Linked DNA regions of Astyanax mexicanus. The protein of the gene in region 2 interacts with the protein of the main gene of each other region in a biochemical or structural test. Links are inferred from orthologs where the notes say so. Each region holds a gene or a part of one and is shown on either strand. Other genes may lie near its edges.

Evidence for each region.
Region 1: the proteins of atp7b (region 2) and atox1 form a complex in vitro, tested with the Homo sapiens proteins (3 studies listed by BioGRID and IntAct). The link is inferred for Astyanax mexicanus from reciprocal best matches to the Homo sapiens genes ATP7B and ATOX1.

What each region holds. Positions count from the first base shown.
Region 1 is NC_064417.1:39,243,086-39,255,989, forward strand, and holds atox1 (copper transport protein ATOX1), read right to left. Parts: upstream 5,590-12,904; 5' UTR 5,448-5,589; coding exon 5,442-5,447; intron 5,242-5,441; coding exon 5,169-5,241; intron 3,152-5,168; coding exon 3,027-3,151; 3' UTR 2,992-3,026; intron 2,843-2,991; 3' UTR 2,525-2,842; downstream 1-2,524. Other genes in the region: slc36a1 (proton-coupled amino acid transporter 1), read left to right, coding at 9,428-9,455, 10,438-10,549, 10,639-10,729, 11,646-11,734, 12,794-12,883. UniProt on the Homo sapiens protein: Binds and deliver cytosolic copper to the copper ATPase proteins. May be important in cellular antioxidant defense.
Region 2 is NC_064412.1:38,317,252-38,330,685, reverse strand, and holds the start of atp7b (copper-transporting ATPase 2), read right to left. Parts: upstream 6,408-13,434; 5' UTR 6,295-6,407; coding exon 6,130-6,294; intron 52-6,129; coding exon 1-51. UniProt on the Homo sapiens protein: Copper ion transmembrane transporter involved in the export of copper out of the cells. It is involved in copper homeostasis in the liver, where it ensures the efflux of copper from hepatocytes into the bile in response to copper overload.

The DNA.
Region 1 (12,904 bases), on a different chromosome or scaffold from region 2:
CATTTGTTCTGCGTCTCACAAACGTTCTTCTTTGTGATCCAAACACCTCAAACTTGGATTCATCCGTCCACAACACTTTTTTCCAGTCTTCCTCTGTCCAATGTCTGTGTTCTTTTGCCCATCTTAATCTTTTTCTTTTATTAGCCAGTCTCAGATATGGCTTTTTCTTTGCCACTCTGCCCTGAAGCCCAAAATCCCACAGCCGCCTCTTTACTGTAGATGTTGACACTGGTGTTTTGCGGGTACTATTTAATGAAGATGCCAGTTGGGGGCCTGCGAGGCGTCTGTTTCTCAAACTAGAGACTCTAATGTACTTATCTTCTTGCTTAGTTGTGCAACGCGGCCTCCCACTTCTTTTTCTACTCTGGTTAGAGCCTGTTTGTGCTGTCCTCTGAAGGGAGTAGTACACACCGTTGTAGGAAATCTTCAATTTCTTAGCAGTTTCTCGCATGGAATAGCCTTCATTTCTAAGAACAAGAATAGACTGTCAAGTTTCAGATGAAAGTTCTCTTTTTCTGGCCATTTTGAGCGTTTAATTGACCCCACAAATGTGATGCTCCAGAAACTCAATCTGCTCAAAGGAAGGTCAGTTTTGTAGCTTCTGTAATGAGCTAGACTGTTTTCAGGTGTGTGAACATGATTGCACAAGGGTTTTCTAATCATCAATTAGCCTTCTGAGCCAATGAGCAAACACATTGTACCATTAGAACACTGGAGTGATAGTTGCTGGAAATGGGCCTCTATACACCTATGTAGATATTGCACCAAAACCAGACATTTGCAGCTAGAATAGTCATTTACCACATTAGCAATGTACAGAGTGTATTTGTTTAGGAGTGTATTTGTTAGGACTAGTTTAAAGTTATCTTCATTGAAAAGTACAGTGCTTTTCCTTCAAAAATAAGGACGTTTCAATGTGACCCCAAACTTTTGAACGGTAGTGTTTCCATGATTTTACCAAATTGAAAACCTCTGGAATATAATCAAGAGGAAAATAGATGATTGCAAGCCATCAAACCAAGCTGAACCGCTTGAAATTTTGTACCAGCAGTGGCATATATTTATTCAAAAGCAGTGTGTTAGATTGGTTGAGGAGAACATACCAAGATGCATGAAACTGTGATTAACCAGGGTTATTTCACCAAATATTGATTTCTGAACTTTTAAAACTTTGAATATAAACTTGTTTTCTGTGTATTATTTGAGGTCTGAAAGCTCTGCAGCTTTTTGTTATTTCTCATTTTCTGCAAATAAATGCTCTAACTGACAATGTTTTTATTTGGAATTTGGGAGAAATGTTTTTCGTACTTTATAAAATTCAACAGCAGTTTATTTCACTCAAACATATACCTATAAAAAGCAAAATCAGAGAAACTGATTCAGAAACTGAAGAAACAGAAACTGAAGTGTGTTTATATATATATATATATGCAACCCCATATGTAAAGATATTAAAGATTATTTGTTAATATTGCATTCCTGCATTTTTACCTGAGACTTTGGAACATGGGCCATTTAGGGTTAATAATGGGGTAAAAAAAAATAAATCAATAAAAAATTATTTAATTTCAAATAGATGTATCCCCTTAAGTCTGAAGAGCAAAAGTTGGAAGAGGATCTCCTGGTCATAACAAATTGAAACAAAACAGTCAAAAACAAATGGAAGGAATTTGCATATTTTGTACTATTATTAAACCATTTAAGGAACTGGTAATTAGCAGTGGATATATGCCAAAGGCTCTTATGATCTCCAATCTCTCAGGCGGCACTATATCAAGAACTGTCATTCAGCAATAGCTAATAGACCCACATGTTTAATTGATTACTTTTGTAGACATTTGTCAAACATTACAATATAAAGTTTCATTCACAAATACAACCATAAACATTGTCTAGAAGTGTTGAATTCTCTGGGCTTGGGGGCATGTGGAATGGACCATCACCCAGGGGAAATGTGAATTGTGGTCAGACTAATCAATATATAAGGTATAACAGGATGCCCTTTGCTCCACAGCAGAGATATAAAAGACCATCCAGACTGTTATCAGCAACAAGTCCAAAATCCAGGGTCATAGTATGGGGATTTTTCAACAAGACAATGCAAACACACATGCTGGCGTGGTGACAACAAATGACAACACTAGTGGTAAATGCTTGACTCTTCAAATTTGTTTCTACCTTTGTTGCAGGGCCGCAATGCAGGAATAGTTGTACATTAAAAAAAAAAAAAAAGTGAAATAATTACTAAATTAGTTACATTAAATGTATGCCATAATGCATTTTTACTTGCATTTTCTATTCTGTCTCTACTTTTTTGATTTAAGGTTGTAAATGAAATTCTATATGGTTTTATATCTATTTTGTATCAAATGCACTATTTGTTGTGTTTCAGGTTAAAAATAACCAAATGTCTATTTAAAAAAAAAGTAAAAAAATTTAGCCGGTTTGCTGTGATCCTGAAGCTTATATGCTAATCACAAAACATGTTACATAAACTTTAATTTAATTTTCCATTAAAACAGTGTTTAATACTTAAATGTATTCATTTTATTAATTTCAAATTCCAAACAGGCAAGAAAACAGGCTTTTTTTCATGATCAGACAATACAGTAGCAGACTATGTCTATACTTAGTTGTTATATTGCAGCCACAAAAGGAGCCATTGTACTAAAACTATGTTGCATTAGATACTAATATTTCATTAATTAGCATTTGAATTGATTATCATGGTGCACATCAGGACAGGTTTTAGAAGCTTGTTCCACTGGTCCCCACAGTCACACACCTCATTCTTGAAGAGCGTGATCACACAGCCATCCATAATCTTGTCAGGAATTACAACCTGTCACATGGAGAATCACAAATGAAGGAGACTGAAACCCAAACCCAAAATGCATATAAATATAAACTAATACAATTTAATAATACTCATAATGTCAGTAAATAAACAACCAGTGGTTATTAATTAGGAAAGAGAAGCAGCAGGCTTACATGGTGTAGAAAAGCTGTTAAATGCTGAGCATCCTCTATTTTGTGCCGATGTAAGTGACAGTTTTTCCAGTCTTCTTCAGCGTCTCTAGAAGAACATCACTGTCTTTGTCTGACTCGATGAAGACCTTCTTGTTAGGAAGGTCAATGTCAAACTTGACATCTGTTGAATTAAGAATAGGCTGTAAACATTTTAAACATTCAAAATTGTGTAAACTGTAAGCTTTCAGCTGTCACCCTACCATGGCACTTCATTATATGTCAAAATGTCTCATAAAAACCTTGTATATCCAGTTTCTTATTCTTTAATTTTCCTTACACAATTGAAATGTGCATTTTATTATTCACATTTAGGGTAAATAAATCAGTAAAATAAATGAAATAAATTATTTACATTGACTTCTCCTGAAAATTAGGAAGATTTTTGCTTTTCCTGTAAATTTGTTTATTTGGCAATCAGAAAAAGAGTTCAGACAGCAGTGATGCACACTGTGCACACTCATTTGACCTAAAACAGTCCGTTACGAAACTGACTACGCAGTACAATATGAAACCAAAGAAGTGTGTACACATGATAAAAAAGCAATGGAAAAAAAAACAAAAAAAAACAAAAGCAAAAACAAAACAATAAACAGGTCAACTATATCACTGCTCTGAAATATCATTACATGCTTTTAAAGAGTTTACAAGAGTTTTAATTTGGGTCTTTGCTTCAAAAGAGCCTGTGGTAATATATGTCACAGACCCTTAATGATATGTAAAAAAGTTCCTTGATTTAGGGTGTAGTAAAACATAATATCGAGTACAAACTTTTGTCGACTAACCCACCTCTATTTACCCCCAGCATTACCAAATACAGTGTTTTTTAGCTGATGCTTCCAACAGGCCTCCAATGCTAGTGATAGGGGCATTGCATTTCCCCTGGCCAGAAATCTTTTTTTTTTTTCACCATTACCAAGCTCAAAGAAGCTCCACACTGCATTCGTAAGATTCTAAAGGCCCTGACATTAAAAACAAGGCACTGAAAACTTTGATAGTGCACCTTCAGGTAATTTTTCAGGCTTAAAATTAAGTCACGCTAAGTCAACTGACGAGTGACTGAGTAGTTCAAAAGATTAGTAGTTCTGAGTAGTTCAGTAAAGATTATGCCCTTTGTTTTATGGTGCTCTTCAGTCTGATGTAGACAATCACCAGATACTTTCAGCAACAACTTGAAGTTATGCATTTCCACTAATACATTTTGCCTAACCTGTTCCCCTATCCTACCTATTCGTTCATGCACGTCAGTCGACTTATTGATTCTCAGCGCCTCATTTTATATGTCAGGGCCCTTGGAATTCTGTCAATAATAAGTTTCTCAGTTGGTCATGGGGTGATTTTCTCTTTTATGGGGGGTCCTCTGTGATTTTATTTACGTCCGGAATGACCATGTACGTGTTTTTCTCAGATGTCCTATGAGAAAATTGCAGCCTGAATAACCTATTGTTTTTCACTGAACTCGTCCGGTAATTTAAGTCTCATCCATAATGCACATCTCTGCATTTTGTCACCTTGCATTTAAAAAAAATATATAAAATAGCTATTTGTCCACTGCCATGCACCGTAATTACACTTTGGGGACGCACTTATCCAAGGAAATACACATGAACACAACAGCAAGGGGAAATGGAGGAGTTACTGAATGCAATGTCATGTGACCGAGAAAGCCTAAAAAATCACTGGTCCTCCTGTTTTTTCAATTGCAGTCCCCCTAAGAAATTATTCCCGCCCGGATAGGGCTAAAGGTTCATCCTCATGATCATGTTTTATTACATTTTATGTCCATTTTACATCATTTCACACACTTTAAAATACAGGTTATTAAAATGTTGTGGTGTCATTTGGGTTGCATCAGGATTTTAGCCATAATATTTATATTTCATATAATATGTGCCCACAATACAAAAAAAACCCAAATGAGCTGCCCACTGAATTTATCAGATTTGATTTAGAAATTAGAATCAATATTCAAAAGTGGGTTTAGGCTCTTAGGGTAACTTGCCAGCTAACCCAGATAGCTAGTTAGCTAATAGTTAGATTACTCTAGGTTAGTTCAGCTAGCTGAGAAAAGTTGAATTAACTCCTAAACTACACACAAACATCAGCACATACAAACATCAACATACACACTGTAGACCTACCTATTTTTTTAAGAACCCGGGTGACTGCTCCAGAACATCCCTCACAGGTCATATCAACAAAGAATTCGTGGGTCTGTGGACAAAAACAGCGTTATCTCAGACTGTTTAAATTCCGAGTCCCTGCACCAGCCAAGCTATCCCTAACTTACTAAATCCAACAGGCTAAATTAGCAACTTAGCTAAACACGACCAGAAAATGAGCCCTTGGCCTTTAGACAGCAAAAGCCCTGAACTATCGGCTAAAGTCGGGAATCAAAGATAAAAGACACTTACTGCCATGATCCGATAAGATCTTGAGAGCGTCAAAAGAATTAAGTAAACGAAACCTCCTGTTAAATGAACACCAAGAGCTATCTGAACTCTGCTACTCTGCTGCTCGGTGCTGAGCGAAGACGTGTGACTTAGGGATGATCACTAAATTACCGCCCACTTTCTGAAGCGTGTATTACCATATTACAACACTGCGGAATCGGAGCATAATGGGAAAAGTTCTGAGGTTTTCTTTAAATAAATTTTCTCTATATCTTTATAGGTCTCTCTTAAAATTAGTTTTGTATTTGTCTATTATTAAGTACTAAAAGCAATTTAAAAATACTATCAAACAACGAGGATAACTAAACTAATGTTTATATGTCTTTATTTTTTTTAACTGAATTGAATCGTTAAATCGTTTTCTTATTTAATCTTACATGTGATTTGTTTATCAGTTAGGGCTGGTTCACGGCATGCTCTATATATATACATACACACAGGCCAATAGAGCTTTAGTGTAGTGTAAATAGTGTATGTACATATGGAACAAAAATATATGTAAAATATAAATTTGTAAACTTGCAAGTGACATTAAAATAAATAAATGAACAACAACAACAAAATACATTTAAAATGCAATTAAAAAGGAAATATATTCACACATTTCTTCTTTTCTGTGTGTGGTGTCTTTTCTGTGTTTTATGGTGAGGACTAAAACGTTCTTTTACTACATGTAAGAATTGAATTGCAATCTAATTTAAATGCATTTTTCATTTGCAACAAACCAAATCAAATCTTAATAATTCGATTTTTTACATATACAATACGAATTGTACGAATTAAAACTGAATCAGAAAATTTCATTGTATTACAAATAAGCTTCAAACTTTAGTTTGTACATGCTGGAATTTTCTGTTGTATTGCATTTTTCATTTTTACTAATGATGTATTAATTTCCTGAACTACTGTTATATCAAAATCCTATTAGATTAAAGTCTAAACGTGCCAGTTTGGTCAGGCTTTTCACAGAAGCTCCCTCAAGCTGCGTCAGCTGATCAGAGGATCATGTGACCGGCGCGCTCTGAACACCAGAAGAAACAACAAGCCTCGCAGCAGCAGTGAGACAGCGGGTCAGCGGCGGGGTTCACACCGCGCTGGAGATTTAAAACCGGACCGTGCTTTAAATACTGTTATCTGTTTAAGTTGTTAAAGGAAAATGTGGCTGTTCATTCGTCTTTGCTAGTGAAATAAGGCTTCTGCGCGGCCGCAGCGGCTCTCTGGAGCTCCCGGTGAGTAGCTAACCAGCCTAACTGTCAGTTCACTGAGTAATAAGCCCTTTTACTACAGGAGCCACGACTCAGCTGCAGCGGCAGGGAGTGAATGAGTGACAGACAGCTGGGCTGCTTTATAACATTAAATACACTGAAATATTAGATATATATATGGGAAATTTAACGACTTACGGTTACATGCAGCTACTTAAGTGACCAGCTATAAGATTATTAGCCAATTACAGGCTAGTAAACATGTCCTTGTACATTGTGCTTGTGTTTTTGTGCTTGTGTTTTAAGTGAATAGTTTAGTAAATAAACTTAAATTAGTTTAGAACAGTTTAACTCATTCCCAGATGGTCAAGATATGATTGTTGTCTGAGGTAAGTTTTCCATTGGACAAAGCAATATTAGAGCCAATAAATTAGGTCCAGTGTAACCCAAATAAATGCTAGTTAAAGAACTACACTTTATATTCAGCTCTGGGAAAAAATAAGACATGCGTTTAGATGATGAGTTTCTTTGATTTTACCAAATTGAAAACCTCTGGAATATAATCAGTAGGATCACAAGCTATCAAACCAAGCTGAACTGCTTGGAAAGCTCTGCATCTTTTTTTTTGTTATTTCAGCCATTTCTCATTTTCTGCAAATAAATGCTTTAAATGACAATATTTTTATTTGGAGTTTGGGAGAAATGTTGTCCGGTGTTTATAGAATAAAACAACAATGTTAATTTTACATATACCTATAAATAGCTAAATAAGAAAAACAGATTCAGAAACTGAAGTGGTCTCTTAATTTTTTCCAGAGCTGTAACTAGTTGTAGTAGTTGTTGATCAGCACTATTCAAGGAGACTTTGTTTAAATATGCTTTTCAATAAAACCAGCCCTTTAAGGCTATGAGGGAATACTGTTAATAGTTTACTTTTTGTAGTTAATACTCATTTCAGTGAATACTGCAGTTCAGACAGTCTTGTTCATATGCTAAACTGAAACTATGAAAATAGTTGTTATTACACAATGTCACATGCCTTTCAACCTCAATGCATAAAATCTATAGCAATGCACGTCACGACAACAATGTTTTGCGAATGATATGATGTCGCAGAAATGATTGCGATGAACAATATTATTGTCATTTTAAAGGAGAAATTTGGTGTAAAATGGACTTGAGGTGTAGTGAAACATGATTCATTGTAAGTGTATTGGGAGCATTGGCTATAAGCGCTGTATTTTGGAATGCTGGGGTTGGACGGAGGTGCAATATTAAGAAAATGTTTGTATTTATTATCATGTTTTACCACACCCCAAGTCTGTTTCATACAGAATTTATCATTTAAGCCCAGTAAATGCCACTAAAATAATGACAACATGATATCATATCAAACAAATTATTTAATTTTAAAGACAATAAACATTTACTTAATAGTAGTTTGGAAGACTGTACTTTTTTTGTCTGCAGCAGTACACTCTTATACCGCTTCCACCAATGTGGATTGAGCTTGAACTGTTCGCAGCATTTCCACCAACAAAAATAGGTTTGCTCATAAACACAATGAATGATATCACAATTATTACAATTATTAAGGTTATATCCATTTATTGTTTGATAAGTCGATAATGTAATTATCGTGACAGGCTGTATTTTAAAAGGACAACAGAACTTTTTGATATTTTATACTCTATATACTAAACAACACCAGCTGACTGAATTAATCAGTGGCTGTAATCATTGCAATGAATGTAGATACTGAGCGCCTATTCTAGCTTTTCATGCTATGTCCTTATCAACAAAACAGAAGATTTATAAAAAGAAAGATTGCTCATTTTAGTTTAAACTCCTTTACAACAAAGTAAAAACAGTGAAATCACATGTTTGGCATTTGCAGTGGTCAGCAGTTAATAGCTTCTCCGTGTGCAGAGTGCTGATGTAGAGGATTTGACTTCAGAGAAGTGTGAAAGAAATTACTCAGCTAAATTTAACCTTACATAACTAACAGAGTCATTTGGAATTTGTAGCATAATGTGACCTACTAGCACTGTGATTCATATACTAGCACTCTGTTTCATATATACAAGCACTGTGTTTTATGGACTAGTACTAGGAGTGGGCGATATGGCACAACCAAACAAAACAAATGTAACAGTTTAATACATTCACTTGAAACAAAATAATTTATAAACATTTGTCTATTTTGTAAACAGTAACTTTCCAAGACCCAGATTTTGAATATTAAATGAAAAATGTAACAAAAATAATGCAATTGAACAACAAATAATCTAAAAACGAAACATAAAATGCAGCATGTTTAGTACATGTATATAAACTGCAATAAAACATAGTTAAAAGTAAATACAGTAAATAGCAAAACAAATAATATTGCTTTTGTATAATAATATGTACTGCTTTCAAGAATATTGCTATTATCACAATATAGTGTCAGACATTTTTGTGATATTCTTGTGTACAAATGTGTATAATATGGCACACTACTACACAACTAATACTGTTTCATATATACTAGTACACACAGGAACTATTGTTTTTGTGATAATTTGAGCAAATATTGAAACTCAATAAATATAGGTCAATAAAATGAGTTTGCTTTGAACCAGCAGCGTAATAATGATGATAATAATGTTTTGCTTGCCTTTGATGGTTTACAGTGGCTGGATGAATTGTCTCCACAATAAAAGCAGGGACCAGTGAAACTTCCAGCTGAGCGGAACAGCCATGAATTCAGACATCAACTATCAGGATGGTAACCAAATTTAATATGCATTAGAAGAACATTTGTGGTGCAGCCTGTTTTGCTTTATTAAGTTAGACTCTGTATCAGTGCTTCTTTTTAGTACTGCAGTGAGGAAGATTTTTATTCCATATGTTTGTAGTTATACCTTGTAAGTATCAGTAGACTATATTCTTAGGGTACTTTTTTGCCAAGCAATAAAAATATGGTCATGTAGAAAAGGAACACCCCATGCAAATGTTTGTCTTTATGAAGAGATGTAATAAAAAGACACGTAGGCTGCATTTGAACAGTATTCTAAGATGAAGCTTATACAGCAAATCAAAGAAAACTTTTAAACGTAAGAAAACCTTTAATGTTGGAAAAAGCTGACAATTACCTCAATACCTCAGTTTTTTCGTAAATCTGTCCACCAGTCTCAGACATGGACTGGGAAAATGTCTTAGCTGTGTATGTATGGAATATTTCAAAATGTCCTTGAGTACTCTCTGAGACAATGGATAATTCATAGTGGATATTTAATGGAGCTTTGAGAGCATTGTTTTTTTTTTTTAATTATGCTTAAAACTAAAAAAACTAATACTCAATACTGTTTTAATAAAGCTCAAATATTCATGTGAATAAATATGCTTAAAAATCTAAGGTTTTTATGATGGTCCTATATTTTCAGCTGACTGTATTTCTATTGTATGCTTTGTTTTGAACCCTTTCAAAACACTAACGTCCCTTTCCGTTCTATGCACATTTTACTACGTACGGTCCAATAAAATCGCTTACATAAATACATTAAATCCACTTACTAAGAATGATTTTTCCTTCTCCCATATTGGTTTCATTATAAAGAGCATTGGGGATTTCTTTTTCTTTTTTCTTTATTTTACATTTGCACCAATATAAATATTAATACTAATTAAGAGTTTGTCAATTATTAAAGTTATTAAAGTTAATACATAGAAAAATGATGAATAAAAATGTCTTTTAAACTTTTTTTCAGGGCCTGCATTCTCCTGTACAGAGGAGAGTCCAACAGAGGACGAAGAGCCCGTCCATTCCCCGTCCCGCATGCAGAGACAGTACGAGCGAATTGGAGGCAGAACCGGATCCTCGTAAGACCAGTCACAGTAACTTAGTGTGAATGGACTGAAGTTGTTCTGATTAGACTGCTGGTCTCAGGCTCTGCTTCTTGTGTTTACAGGTTTTTTCAGACCTTAATTCATTTACTGAAAGGAAACATCGGCACTGGTCTGCTAGGCTTGCCTCTTGCTGTGAAGAATGCAGGGCTTGTGGTAGGTCTCTATTATCAGTTTAAAGTTATTACATTAAAAAATACATTATACACATTTTGTGTGCTTGGCTTTAATGGCCTGTATCATATAAAACTCACTTAAAAAAAAGACTGATACTATGGAAACAATAAAGGGCAGGCAGTCAGAACAAAAGTCAATAATGTGCAACCAAAAGGTATGCTAAATTACGCTGGCATGCCACATATCATGAGACAGAAACTAGTCTCATGTCCTACGACTTTTGGAATGGAATCTAGAAAATGAATTGAGACCTGCATTGAATGTGGATGTGATTTCTGCCAGTCGTTTGTTTTTCATCTGATGCACTTTCCATTTTGGGTGGTTATGCCCTTTATAAAGTATTCCCAATCCATCTCCCCTCACCCACTATCAGACCTCGCTCAAACTATGCCACCTATCACCTGCCAAACTATCACCTTGCCATGAGCACACTGACCAGTATTTAACCCCACTAACAATTAATACCATCTCCTGTGGTAACACTTAATGATCAAGTTACATACTGGTATCACATGAATTATGGCATGTCAGTATATAAAGGATTAAGAAAGGCTTTTTATATATAGGATATGAGTTTTCTTTTTAATCTAGAGAAAAACAGATTTTCTTTTTGATCCAGCTCTAATGATGCTGTTTTATTACATTACTTTAGTGTTTTAAAACTCTGTCGTCACAAAAAATAACATTATTGTTGTTGCCAGATCCAAATAATCTAAAAAAAAATTTAAAAACAGCAAAAATGAAAAAAAAAAAAAAAAAAAAACTATGAACGCTCTTGCAGGACAGTAACCATATATATACTGATTGTTGAATTCACTTCATTGAAACTTGTATATTAGGTATATTATAAATATGTTCAGTTCATTAACAACTGACTTTGTGAAACTGTCTGCAGGTGGGTCCTCTGAGTCTCTTCGTGATGGGCATTGTGGCTGTGCATTGCATGCAGATTCTGGTGAAATGTTCCCACCATCTAAGTGCTAAGTAAGTGTCTTGGTTAAACAGCTGTTAAACCTCATTTGTTTGTCCAGAGCTTGCTTACTCAGTTCAGTCATTTGAGGAAGTAAGTCACGCCTGTATCCGTGTACATCACGTTATTACTCTAGGACATCACTGTTTACTTTTTCTTAGATACTACTCTCAGACATTCAGGGATTTTAACTTTATAAAATCTACTCCTACATGTAGCACATAATACACAACATCGCTTTGTTACAAAGTTAAAACCTTTATAGGATATATGAGAGGGCTGTGTATCAGCGCAACCAAAACCACTGTAGACAAGCCACATAAACAGTTTGCGTCACTAGCCTGATGCGGTCTGCTCATGTGAGAGGAGAGAAAAATAAAAGGTTAAAAAAGGTTATTAAATGGGCTGTGTATAGGCATTACCCTGGCTATATGATGCACATCATGATACAGGGGTTACAATTCAATGTATTGCAGTATATTGCAAAAAAAAAATTAAGCAAAGCAGTGTATTGTTTATTTTTTGTTTTTGTTTTTGTTTTTTTTCCTTCCCATTACTAGCTGAGGTATTCAGATGTGTTTCCCTTTCGTTTCTAAAAAACAATGGTGTCTTGTGACTTTTGACTCAACCTGTAATTTGCCATTCAAATTTTTAATGCATGACTTTATTATACTGTAAACTGTATATATATATATTTTTTTTCTCTCATACTTAACAGTAGTCTGATTACTGATTATAATGCAAATGAATTGTTAACAGAAGCTCTTGGACTTGACTTTTATATACACAGTGTCAGATTGGCAGCACATGCAAACTGTTATGTGAGCAAATATTTTCAAATATTGTTTAGTTTATAGTTTCCCTGTGTAAAGCAGTGGTGTTACTTTTAGTGGTAATGTTGCCTTTTCACTAAAACAGAAAAGAGACTTTGATAGTATGAGTAATGCTTTAGATGATCATGTAGAAAAAATGTGTTTCTGCTCATCTGTCTCGTGGATATGAAACCTGTTTGGGCACATGCATGTCCATACATTTTTTTTTTTGGATGGTTTGACTTTTACTTTCTTTTCTAGGCTTGGGAAACCGTTCCTGACGTACGGGGATGCAGTAGAGTATGGAATGGAGAATGTGTCTTGGCTGAGGAATCATTCTCGTTGGGGAAGGTGAATTACTTAATGCTGGTT
Region 2 (13,434 bases):
ATTGAAGCCATGTTTTTTAGAGGCCCACGCCTCAGAAGGACTGCCATTCTCCTACAAACAAAAACAGATCGTTTAATTATTTAATGCTAAAAATGTATATTCATTTTGTAACTGTAAAAACCTTTACATATTTTGTATGCCTTAAAATTCAAATACTGTAACCCTAGAGCACATGTGTCAAACACAAGGCCCGCGGGCCAAATGTGGCCCGCCACGTCTTTTTATGTGGCCCGCGAGAGCTTGTAAGATCTTAGTGTCTATAATAAATAAGTCAGAAGCGTTCTTTGACCAAAAAATACATTTCCCACAATGCTTGTCGATTGTATTACCCGCAAAGTTACGGCTTACTGCCACTACACGGCAGTGTAGTCATTGATGTGGAAACCCTGCCGGAGGGAAGGTGTAACTTCGCGGGTGGAATTGAGACATATAAATGTTTATCCCATAATGTCCAGAAAAAGAGAAGTTGATGCAGACGGACGGCTGTGCTTCAAGGCGAAAGACCGGTATGCCTTTTGTGTTACGAAGAGTGTTACTGACCAAAATAAACGCTTTTTAGGAGAGATATAAGTTCTGTGTAAACATTTATAAGACAATAGCTGACAAAATCTGTTTTAATGACGTTAATAAACATCACTGTGACAGCGCTAGTCGCAGTTTCACCGCAGCAAAGTACGAGGACGTGAATCACTTATCTAACCAGCCTTTACTGATTTCTGCCCTCAATAACCCTTTCAATAACCTCCAATAGCCTTTAATAGTCTTCAGTAGCCTTCAACAGTCTAACCTTGCAGCCGTGGTGTGTCCACTAAACTCCGTAGTTATAAACATCCTGAGGTTAGCAGCGCGATAACTGACCTGTTTATAATGTAATCCCAGCAGTGACTCATGCTCTAAACGGCTGCTGTTAGCTGATTGGGCTGAAAGATGAACTGTAGAGAGCTGTATTATTCGGTTACAAAAATCTTTATTTCATACACAGAAGAACTTAAAAATTGTAAAAACGCTCCAGACTGGCTGAGCTGAGCCCTGTAGCCCGTGGCTGGGCTGTAGCTCTGACTCAGTAAAGACTGCGGACTTGTGGTGCTGCTGCTGCAGCTCCCACTAGTGGTTGGATGAGGAACTGCTAAATCTGAGGAAATGCTATGTTCTTAACAGCTCACAATTTTTGATTTTATATTTATTAAGCCTTATTTCAGTTAATAATTTCAAAGTTAATATAACTTGATGTCATTTCTATTCACTTGAATAGTTTGGTTCTTGATTGATGGAGTTTTTGGATTTCATGACATGACAAATTAAAAGGATTTATGTTAATAGAGCAACAAGCAAACATTTTTTCCATGCAACTGTAATATTTGATTGAATAAATAATATATTGAGAGTTATTTAACATTAAGGAGTAATTACATTCATTTACATATATTACATTTGGTTACATTTTATTACATTTATAAGTTACATCTGGCCCTCGGAGGACAGCCAATATGCCAATGTGGCCCTCGGCCAAAATGAGTTTGACACCCCTGCCCTAGAGTGTCACGGTTGCAGCAAGGGATGAAAATGGGTGGACATAAATGCAAGTAATTCTAATAAAAAACAAGACAAAGTAAAAGAAAACTACAAGAAAAAACAAACCAACTGTAATAAAGCTAACTGACAAGCAAAAAACAGAGGAAACTGGGAGCAACCATCAACATACATGTAAAAAGCACAAGACCAGACAAATTTTTTTCATACTTACTTTTTCATATTATCAAACAAACATAAATATAAAAAAATATAACCTAAGCAAATATATAAAGCCCTTTATGAATGATGATTTCATTTATTACGAGAAAAAACTACCCAAACCAATCTAGCCCTTTGTAAAAAAGTGTTTGCCATCCCATAAATTACATGTGATCTCAAAAAGCAACACATTATGCCCGATCTAAAGAAATTTTAATACAGATGAGAATAAAAAAGTCATTGATCATCCATCAATCTGGAAAAGGTTACACAGTCATTTCCAAGGCTTTAGCAGACCACAGTGAAAGCTATTATTTACAAATGGATAAAACACGGAACACTGGTGAACCAGTTAATCGAAATTATTCCAAAAGGGCATGGACAACTCATTCAGGAGGTCACAAAATAACCCAGAACAACATTTAAAGTACTGCAGGTCCCACTTGCCTCAGTTAGGGTCAGTGTTAAAGATTCAATAATAAGAAATAGACTTGTGGAAAATTATTTTAATGGGAGAGTTCCAAGGCAAAAAAAAGCACTGCTGACCAAAAAGAACACAACGGCCTGTCTTACATTTGGCAAAAAAAACATCTTGGTGATCCCCAGGACTTTGGGGTAAATATTTTGGACTAATGAGTGACAACAGTGGTACTTTTTGGAAGGTGTGTGTCCTGTAACGTCTGGAGTAAAACTAACACATAATTTAAAAAAAAGAACATGTTTATGTTCATGATCTCAAGCTCAGGTGTACTTGGGTTCTGCAGCAGGACAATGATCCAAACCACACAAACAAGTCCACCTCTGAATTATAAAAACAAAATGAAGGTTTTGGAGTGGCCTAGTCAAAGTCTGATTGAGATGCTGTGGATAATCTTTATCACGTGGTTTGTGCTGAAAAAAAAAACTGCTCTCCAAAAAGAACACTGCTGCTTGTCTGGAGTTTGCTAAAAATCACATAGACAAGCCAGAAGACTATGTACTGGAAAAAATGTTTGTGGACAGATGAGACCCAAATATACAATACACAAAGGTTCATATACTTTTCCTATTACAAATATGTAATAAATCGATCAATAAATGACCAAGTATAATTTCTTTCTTTCTATCAACTTTTAGGACTAATGATGTTTTAGGTTATATTTATGCAGAAAGGTAAAAAAGGGGTCACAAACTTTGAATCGCGACTGTAGATGCAGAGACGGTTGAAAGGAAGGGGCACCGTCTACAGTACCACCTACAGTACAGTGTGGGAAACACTGAAATCCATTTGGTAGCCATTCTGTAATGAACTGAACTGTATGAACTCAAGTTGATCCAGATCCACTATGTAAGCACAAGCTAATCACACACACCAGCGTATTAGTGCTAAAGTCTCACACCACACACAACATCAAAGAGCAGATTATACACTGAACAAATCTGACTTATCACATGAGCCCGACTTTTAGGGGGCCATGCATGAGGCAGGGAGAGGTGGAGTGGTGGCTATTTAATTATACTTATGTGTAATTAAATACTCAAACAAAGTATTATTAAATTACTATATTTGGCTCTTAAACAAAATCTATATATATATATATATATATATATATATATATAAAATCTATATATATATATATATATATATATATATATATATATATAAGTGTACACAAATACTGTAATATCAAAGTGTCTTGATATGTATTCTTTGGTGTCTAGAGTTGTACTCTTTACTAGAGCTGTGCGATAAATCATATTTTCTATCATTACCGTGATATGTGCATGAGAATTGCTATAAGTTTCTGAATAACAGTACACTCATTCTGCATTACCCTCATGCAGTAACAGCGGGATCTCTTCACACTGCAGACTGTGATCACATGACATAGCTAGGCTAGAGGAAGAGTAAGGCAGAGTGAGGTAAAGTGAGGTACAGTGAGGCAGAGTGAGGTAGAGGGAGGCAGAGGGATGTAGATCAAGCTGGATTGATGTAGAGGTAGGAAGAGAGAGGTTGAGTGAGGCAGAGCAAGAGAGAGGTAGGTATAGGCAGGTAGAAAGAGGTAGAGGGAGGTAAAGCAATGTAGAGTGAGGTAGAGGGATGTAGAGCAAGCTAAAGGTAAGTAGAGGGAGATGCAGCAATGTAGAGTGAGGTAGAGGGATGTAGAGCAAGCTAAAGGTAAGTAGAGGGATGAAGATACTTGGAACCTAATATAATAGAAGTTTATTCAAATCTTACTTTTACTTGACTACACAATCCTGAAAACATGTAACTAGACAGTACCCAACTTGGTATGCATTTTATTATTATTATTATTATTATTATTATTATTATTATTATTATTATTATTATCATTATTATTATTATTATTATTAGTAGTAGTAGTAGTAGTAGTAGTAGTGAAATAAGTAATATAATATCACAAGCATGCAAATATTTATAATCTCATGTCTCGCTCAGAAAAAGCTGGGATATTGACTGGTAACTGAAACATTATAAAAGTTGAACTAGACAGAGATAAGAAGTAAAGAGCAATGATCAGTGTTTTGCGCGCACACACACACACACACACACACACACACACACACGTACACTGCCATATCTAAAAACCTATGACACTGACCTTTATGCAGAGCAAAGAGCTCAAGTAAAGCTACTGGTAAATCAATGGAACTATGGTTCAAAGACATGTACAATCAGCTACCAAATCCTTTTAACATCCATTTATAGCAAATAGTAATTTAACAGGACATTTGTTAAAGTTATTTAAATTTAAGTACAAATAAAATGGTAAGATTATTTGCCACACAACTAAACCTTAATTAAAGTTTCCCACATTCTCTATAGAACTTCAGTAAAGCTCATTAGAACATCTAGTAACACTGGAACTAAAGGTAGACAATATGACAAAAGTCCTGACACTTCTCTGTGATATACATGCCACATGTACTTTGGAAGGAACTAGTACTGCATTCCATGACTTTTGCCATGTACCACTGAAGCTAAAGAACGCTGCGCTGGTCAGCATTAAATGTAGATGTGATGTAATTTTTTGTACAGATCATTCTAACCAGCCACCACTGGTCACAAACATGTACAAACTACGTGACTAAGTGAAAAAAAAAGGCTTTAAGTAATGGTTGTCAATCTGAAGAATTTCAAGAACTTTGAAAGTATCCTCAAGTGCAGTTGCAAAAGACAAAACCATTAAAGACCTTATGAAAAAAATGGCTTTCATCTGGACTGCCCCAGGAAAGGAAGAGCAAGAGTTGCCTCTGTTGCACAGGATAAATTAATCAGAGTTACCAGCCTCAGAAACCTCAAGTTAACAGTCTCCCAGATAATTTTGGTTTGTTTAACACTTTTAGTTTACTACAAAATTCCTTATTTGTTCCTTCATAATCTGGGTGACTTCACTATTAATTTATCATTTTAAACATTTTAAACAATTGAAACTTTAGACTAGTACTGTATATTTTTCTATTTTTGATGGTTTTGGTCTAAAAAATTATAAAGCTCAAAGGTGTTAGACATAAACCCTTGCAAAGCCTTTTTAACACAGAAAACACCCTATACTATTAAATGTATATCATTGCTGCCCAGTAAAAAACAAGTATTTCCATTTTTGTTGATTTTTAGTTTACTACATAAATTGAACAGACTGTTCCTTACACTGTGCCGAAATTTCTTGATTAACATACCAATATAAATACTTCCAAGTAATCTCAAAACAAACTCTTTTTTACAATGACTTGTTAATTGAAAGTTTAGAAGATTTTTTTCTCTCTCCTGTAAAGTTGCTGTCTTGTTTTTCGCTGGACAGTGAGCATATATTCTTCTTTATTTGAGATTTTGTTCAGTTTTAAATTAGCCCAAACAGAGTTGAGCAGAACTTTGGGATTTTAGAATTGTAACTGGAATTACATATTCTACAGAAAATAGATATTATATGCAATTGATTTTATAACTGTTAAAGACCTAGTAAAAAAAAGACTTATCAGAATAAATTTATGTAAATATAAACTGAATGTATACATGGAGGTTGAGGTTAAGTAAATAATGTGAAGGGGGGGGGTTAGTTTATATAATTAATATTTTATGTGATTATGCTCAAAATATGTTACTATTCTATTAAGCATTATTAATGGTGGAAAATGAATTTAATTAGTATATAATATTTAAAACTGATTCAATAAAGATTTTGTTTGTTTTGCGTTTCATGTGGAAGATGTAATGAAATGTACCAAAATTCTATCATGTTAATTAAAAATGCTCCTAAAGTCGAGTAAATTAATAAATTACAGAACTTTTATTAACAGTAAAAGAAACTGACTAAAAACAGCGTTTAGAAAACGTTTAAAATGACGCTAATAATAAAACAGCCCTCAGGTCTCAGCCCCGCTCCTCCAGGCGCTTACCTTCCCCTCCTGCAGCCGGGCTGAGCGCTGCGAGAAGCGGCAGACACACGGCTCCGTCCCCGGGCAGCGGCACGGAGGACCGCAGTCCACCATACACACCTGCTCCCCGCCCGAACCGAGCCGCCTGCGCCTCCCGAACCCGCCCAGCGAGTCCAGCCTGTTCATCTCACTTTCTGGAAGTTTCTGGCTTTATTGGACCGGACCGAGCCGCGGACAGTCCCGTGCGGAGCGAGCTGAGGGCGAACCGCGCGCTTTTTACCCTGCCTCTGCACACGACACCCGGCTGGCACACTGCCCACCCTCACCTGCCCGGCCAGGCCGCGTGCACTGCCCGGCACTGCATCACACCCAGAACTAGGGTTGTCACGATACCAAAATTTTGACTTCGATACCGATACCAACTGTAGTATCACGATTCTCGATACCAAAACGATACTTGGAAGAAAAAAAAACAATAAAAATATCTGAACATAAAATGTTTATTTTTGACTGAACTGGATTGAACACTGAACAATCGGTGCAAACGTTTTTATTCTAAAATGAAACATTTGTACAAAAAACAAGTTTCGTTATTATAACCTTAACTATAACATAATTATCTAAACACTTCCTAAAAACTAAAACTAAAACCAGAGGTAATGGTAGCCTGACTATGTGAACCTGACGGGCGGGCAGAAGTTAAGTTCTGAATAAGGAAAATAAAGAGACAGAAGAACATTACAATGTTATGTTCATTTTAACACTCACTGCTCCGTTATATTAATCAACCGTTTACCGTTTTTAATAAGCCCATGTTCAGTGTAACGAGCAAGCAGGCTACGTGCCTGACCACAGATTTGCGATGGAAACGCGAAAACGTGAACATCTTGAGTTCATGTTTCACAGCCAATGGGATAATGGAGAAATAGAGAAAACCACGGGTCCAAAACAAAACTCCTGCACACTCCTCTCCATGTTAATGTGATTTACTAGCAGTCGCTAGTAAATCTTAGTAAAGCTACAGAGTGTATCTTGACTAACTCCACTAACCTGTCGACTTCTCAGCTCTTTGTAGAGATCAGGGTGCTTGTCTGCTAAATGAGCGAAATATGATCAGAATTATGTTAAATAACACTGTAACATAGAAGCATAGAACTATTATTTAATTAAAATGATTTTTAAGAACAGCTAAACACAGTGCTGCAGGTCAAACGCGGAGGCGTTCACGTGCGAGAGAGAGACACAGAGAAAGAGTGAGAGAGCGAGAGAGAGAGAGATTTGCGTGTTCTGATGTGAGCTACTCACAGGTAAAGGTTCTCTTTGATCTCCTCGTGCTCATATTCTAGTCCCATACATAATTCTGCAGCTCCCTCAGTGTTTTCTGTCGTATTTTGCGGCTAGCGCGAGCGCTTACAACTAACACCGCGGAGCGCGAGGTGCCGCCGCCCTTGTGCCGAATCCGCTACTGAATCCGACTCCCGCTTCGCGGACAGAATCGGCACAACCCCCCCCCCCCCCCGCTGTACAACTGCGGGAGTGAAAACAGCGCTAATAAAGTAGTTTAGTTTCACTTTCAGTTTTCGTTATTTTATTTAAAAATAAAAATATCAATAAAAAACAGATGCCTACATCTTAGACTATTTTCCCACACTTCACTCCTCGCGCCCGTTTTGTCCACAAGTCGCGGACGAGAGACATCTGTTATTTTAGCCGTCGCCATTCTACACTCGCTGCTGCTCTGCTGGCTTGCTCGTGAATCGATTCATTTGTTCAGAACACTAAGTTTATCTGAATCCTGCCACACCGACTGCTGCGGTGTGAATCAGTTTTCTTATGAACTGAATCAAATCGCGCCTACTAATTTGACTCATTTGAAGCTAGTGACTGGGCTATATACAGTATCGAAAGCATCGAACGCTAAAGAACCGAATCGTTTGTGATGACGTAGTATCGAAAAAGAATCGAACCTTCGGTACACCGTGCAACTCTACCCAGAACTGTACCCCGGTCACATGCTCTCAGAGACAACACAGATATATCACTGAAGTGCCGTGTGCTCTCAAGTACACTGTTTATCGATTTGCACATTTACAAATATACACATTACATTTAAAAAGAAAATTGAAAATACAGTGTCATAAAAAAATATTTGGTCAAAAGATTAGTCAAAATCTATATACTGTGCCTTTTGTGCTGCAGAATATTTGTTTAAATTTCATACAAACACTTGAACAATACATGCTTCAAAATTCACTCTAAATAAAAACATGCTGTACAGCTCCGGAAAACATGAAGAGACCACTTTAGTTTCTGAATCAGTTTCTCTGATTTTGCTATTCATAGGTACGGACAACATTTCTTCCAAATTCCAAATAAAAATATTATCATTTAGAACATTTATTTGCAGAAAATGAGAAATGGCTGAAAAAACTAAAACAATGCAGAGCTTCCAAACCTCAAATCATGCAAAGAAAACAAGCTCATATTCATTAAGTTTTAAGAGTTCAGAAATCAATCCCTGGTTTTTAACCACAGTTGCTCATTTACAATGAAACATTTAAAGATAATTTAGAATTAACCTCTTGAGACCCTGTGTCCTTATGTGGGGATCTTCTCTGCACCATGATACTTTATATTTAAACTGTTGACTCTTGGGCCTCCTGTGAAAATACTGCCTGCACCAACTAGTGGTCACATGACAACATTACACTCAATTGATGGTGGGAAAACAAGATGGTGAGAATCCCAGTTAAATGTTTCTACAGCCAGTCCAGACAGAAAAAAGGCTCTTAGATCTCACGCAATAAGCATGCATTGAGACACTCGCAAGAAGACATCAAGTGGTTTCCCACAGTGTTCTGAAGAAGCCATACACCAGTCATTAAATTGAGAAATGTAGCTACCTAACAGCCAATCAAGAAACAGCAGCGTTCCAGCCAAAAGCTTTTCAAAGAAGACAATGCAGACCGACACATTTGCCGATGCAGGATTTTTTCAAAAGTTTGTGTGCATGCACAAGAACTGGCTTTTTTCCCTCAATCTTCAACAACAAGTTAGTGTTAGAGGTTTGCATAATGTTGTGTTGTTTCCTGTGTGTTTGTGTCTTTGCTTGAAATATTATTTTAAAATCAGAATCACATTATAAAGAGCTGTAATTACAATTCTACTAGTAATAAAATAATTGTAGATATTGGTAATTAAAATTTTTGCAGTTAAAATTAAATGACAAGAGATACGAGACAGTGAAATTAATTGTAAGGTAACATTTGACTAGTCAGAATAGGCCTGTCGTGATAAGATTTTTTTGTGGACAATATATATCGTCCCAGGATTTTTTGCGATACACAATATTTAGAGTATTAAATGCCACTGACATAATGATAACAGAATAGCATAAAAAAGCAATTTTACACTTTTTAAAGACAACAAAATTTGAATGAATCATTTATTATAAGTTATATTAATATATATTTAGTTATAGTTATATTAATATATTATTATATTATTATTAGTTTGGGAATTGTATACTTATTTCTTCACCTACTTTAGTCCACACTATGTGTATCAAGTCAGTTATTGAAGCATGTCACGTCTGGTGCTGTTAGCTCCTCTGTCCCTTCCACACCCAGCTCTAACGGAGGTTCTCAGGTCAACAACTACATTACCCAGAATGCACCACCCGCTGACATCACGCACTCACCTGATCACGTGACACCTCACGGGCTTCCTCCAGGAAGTCCTGAATACTGATTACTGGCACTATAAAAGAGCACTCCACACAAACACCCACGCCGCGTATTGTAGGTTCTCCTCATTACAAAGCGTTACTTTATCTCTTGTCTCTGTTTATCTCGTGTATTGACCTTGCCTTTGTTTTCTCGACGCCGATTATTGCCTTTGCCTCTGATTTTGGATTGCTTGTGTATTACCTGGACTGTGTTTTCACTACTGCCTCTTGGATTACCTCTGATATTGGATATCTCGTGTATGAACTCTGGACTGTCTCGTTTATGGTATGGTTTTGTCTTCATTGCTCTGGTTATTGGTGATTACCCATTTTTCTGTATCGACTATGTCTTACATCTGTTTATTTTATAATAAACACATTTTTATCAGTATCTGCACGTGTCTGCATTCTGTGCTCACCATGACAAAGCATAACTGGCTAAAATACTGTTCATGTTATATATGTGAACAAACATACAAATAAACACAATATGATATTGCGATTATCAAAAATTATTCAGGTCATGTTCATTTATTGTACGATAAATCGATATTGTAATTATTGTGACAGGCCTAAGTCAGAATTACATTAAAAATATGTGCTATGGTATTATGTCTTGTCAGAATGACTTTAGATCTGTTGTTCTGATATTATTACTAGTAATTATTTCATAGCTGGTGTCAAAATTGAGAATTTCTACTAGTAAAAACTGCATTACAGAGATCAGCAATTTGAGGTTTTAGTAAAAACTGAGTTAGTGCTGAGATCACTGGTGTGATTTTATTCTAAAAATGCTTTCTATATTAAAATGTATCTCCTGTCAGTGCTGGACAGTTTGATTAAGTGTTTTAAGTTTTGATTGAGTCATCAAGGACAAAGTATATATTATATAAACAGTATTACACAATATAGCTCTTCGTAAACATTTTTACACGTGACAATTATAACTCTCCAGCAGGGGGCGCACTAATACACCTATGAAGAAATGAATTCTCCATGCCCAGCATTATCCTGAAAAGAACTGATACACAAGGAGATTCAGACCCTAAACACATACATACATGCCTGCAGAATAAATATATATATATATAAATACATCAATACATATATAACACATGCGACAAGCTGTACAGCAGGGTGGACAGTGAAAATCTTGTGAAAATTGGCATTTAATGAAAACATGGGTGACTTTAGTAATCCCTAGTAATCTTGTTTTGTTTCAAAGATACATTTAAATTTTCTAATATTATGTTAATTACCTTGATATTGATACACCATGACAGGGTGGACAGCTTAAGCTTTACTGAAGCTAAATATGGAGACAAAATTATACATTTAAGTCAAATTAATATTATTAATTGCTGACCATTCAGCAGCAATTGTCTTCAGTCCTTTAAAATAAAAACCGTGTGAAATTTGTGATTTCACTGATGTTGATGTTTAATTTCTTAAAGGAATTAAGGCAGGTTAAAATAGTTCGATAATTTTTATAAAAAAATAAAAAGAGTTAAAAAGAAATTGAAATGTCTAATTATATAAAAAAAAATTCATTCAAAACTTCAAAGCCCACATGAAAGAAAACTGTATAAAATTTACAAAAAAGAAAACTGTATAAAATTTACAAAAAAGTACTTTAAAGTGAGGGTTAACATACCTCTATACAGTGGCTTGCAAAAGTACTCATAACCCTTTAACTTTTTCATATTTTGTCACCTCACAACCACAACTTTATACGTATGTATTTATTGAGATTTTAAGTGATAGACCAACATAAAGTAGCACATAATTGTGAAGTGGAATGAAAACGATACAAGGTTGTCATTATTAAAAAAATAAATCTAAAAAGTGTGGCATGCAAAAGTATTCAGCTCCCTATATCAATACTTGGTAGAGCCACCTTTTTGCTGAAAAAAAAAGTATTTTGGGGTTTGTATCTACCAGCTTTGCACATCTAGAGACTGAGATTTTTGTCCATTCTTTTTTTGCGAAACAGTTAAAGACTTTTTTTATTTCTTGCCACAGAAGCTCAGTGAGATTTAGCTCAGGACTTTGATTGGGCCATTCTAACACATGAATATTCTTTGATCTAAACCATTCCACTGTAGCTCTGGCTGTATGTTTAGGTTTATTGTCTTGTTGGAAAGTGAATCTCCATCCTAGTCTCAAGTCTTTTGCAGCCTCCAACAGGTTTTCTTCCAGAATTGCCCTGTTTTCTGTAGATTATCCCACCCAAGCTGTGGATTTCTGCAGCTCCTCCAGAGTGACCATGGGCTTCATTGCTGTTTCTCTGACCAGTGCTCTCCTTGCTCAATCTGTTAGTTTGGGTGGACAGCCATGTCTTGTTAGGTTTGCACTTGTAGAATTATTTTTCCATTTTTGGATGATCGATTAAACACTGCTCTTTGGGATTCGTAAAGCTTGGGTCTAACCCTGCTTTAAACTTCTCCACAACTTAAACTCTGACCTGTCTGGTGAGCTCCTTGGTTTACATGATGCTGTTTGTTCACTAGTGTTCTCTAACAAACCACTGATGCCTTCACAGGGGGATGAATAATTTTGCACGTCACACTTTTCAGATTTTTATTTCATTTGATATTTTAAAACCATGTATCATTTCTATTCCACTTCACAATTATGTGCTATGTTGTGTTGGTTTATCTCTTAAAATCTCAGTAAAATACATTTAAGTTTGTGGTTGTAAGATGACAAAATGTGAACAAATTCAAGGAATGTGTATGCATACTTTTGAAAGCCACTATATTTGTAATATTGTGTTTATTTAGAGTATATATTGAAAATATATTGTTTCATGGTGTTTGGATGAAATTTAAACAACTATGCCGAGGACACTAACAGCGCATGATATGAATAGTGACCAACACTTTTTTTGTTTTAAAAGTCACATTATTACAGTTAAAACGTGTAATAAAGCACAAAAAGAAAAACTAAACCCTTAACAAACACATAATAATGAAGCAGTGTGTTGTGTAGTGTTGTGTTGTGTTTATTCTTTTATTGTTGTGTAATTTTTGAATATTGTTTTGTAGTGATGTGTCTGTAGAACTGGAAATCTGCTGAATAAAAGTCCGGTTAAATAAAAAAAAGAAAAGGAAACACTCACCCGGTGTGTGACCCCCATGGAGCCGTAGTACATATCTGAACTCGGTCTGCAGTGATGCACACTGTGAGAATCAGGCAGTTCTGGGAGGAAGTGCCCTCGCAGAACAGTCTCGTTTAATGACCACATGACGGTCACAGACTATCAATTGTTGCTCTTCCTGCTTGATAAGACCATATATGGGACTGGAGCAAGCAATGAATGGTGTAATTACTCAAAAAGTAATGCATTACAAATGACTAATTACTAATTATTTCTGGAAGAGAGTAATTAATCTCATTAATGTAATATATATCCATGTTTGCTAATATATCATTATTTAAAAATACCTTTACATTCTTTTTTATACATTTATGTACAGTGGCTTGCAAAAGTATTCATATCCCTTGAACCTTTTCACATTTTGTCACCTTACAACCACAAACTTAAATATATTATATTGAGATTTTAAGTGATGGACAAACACAAAATATTGCAAAAT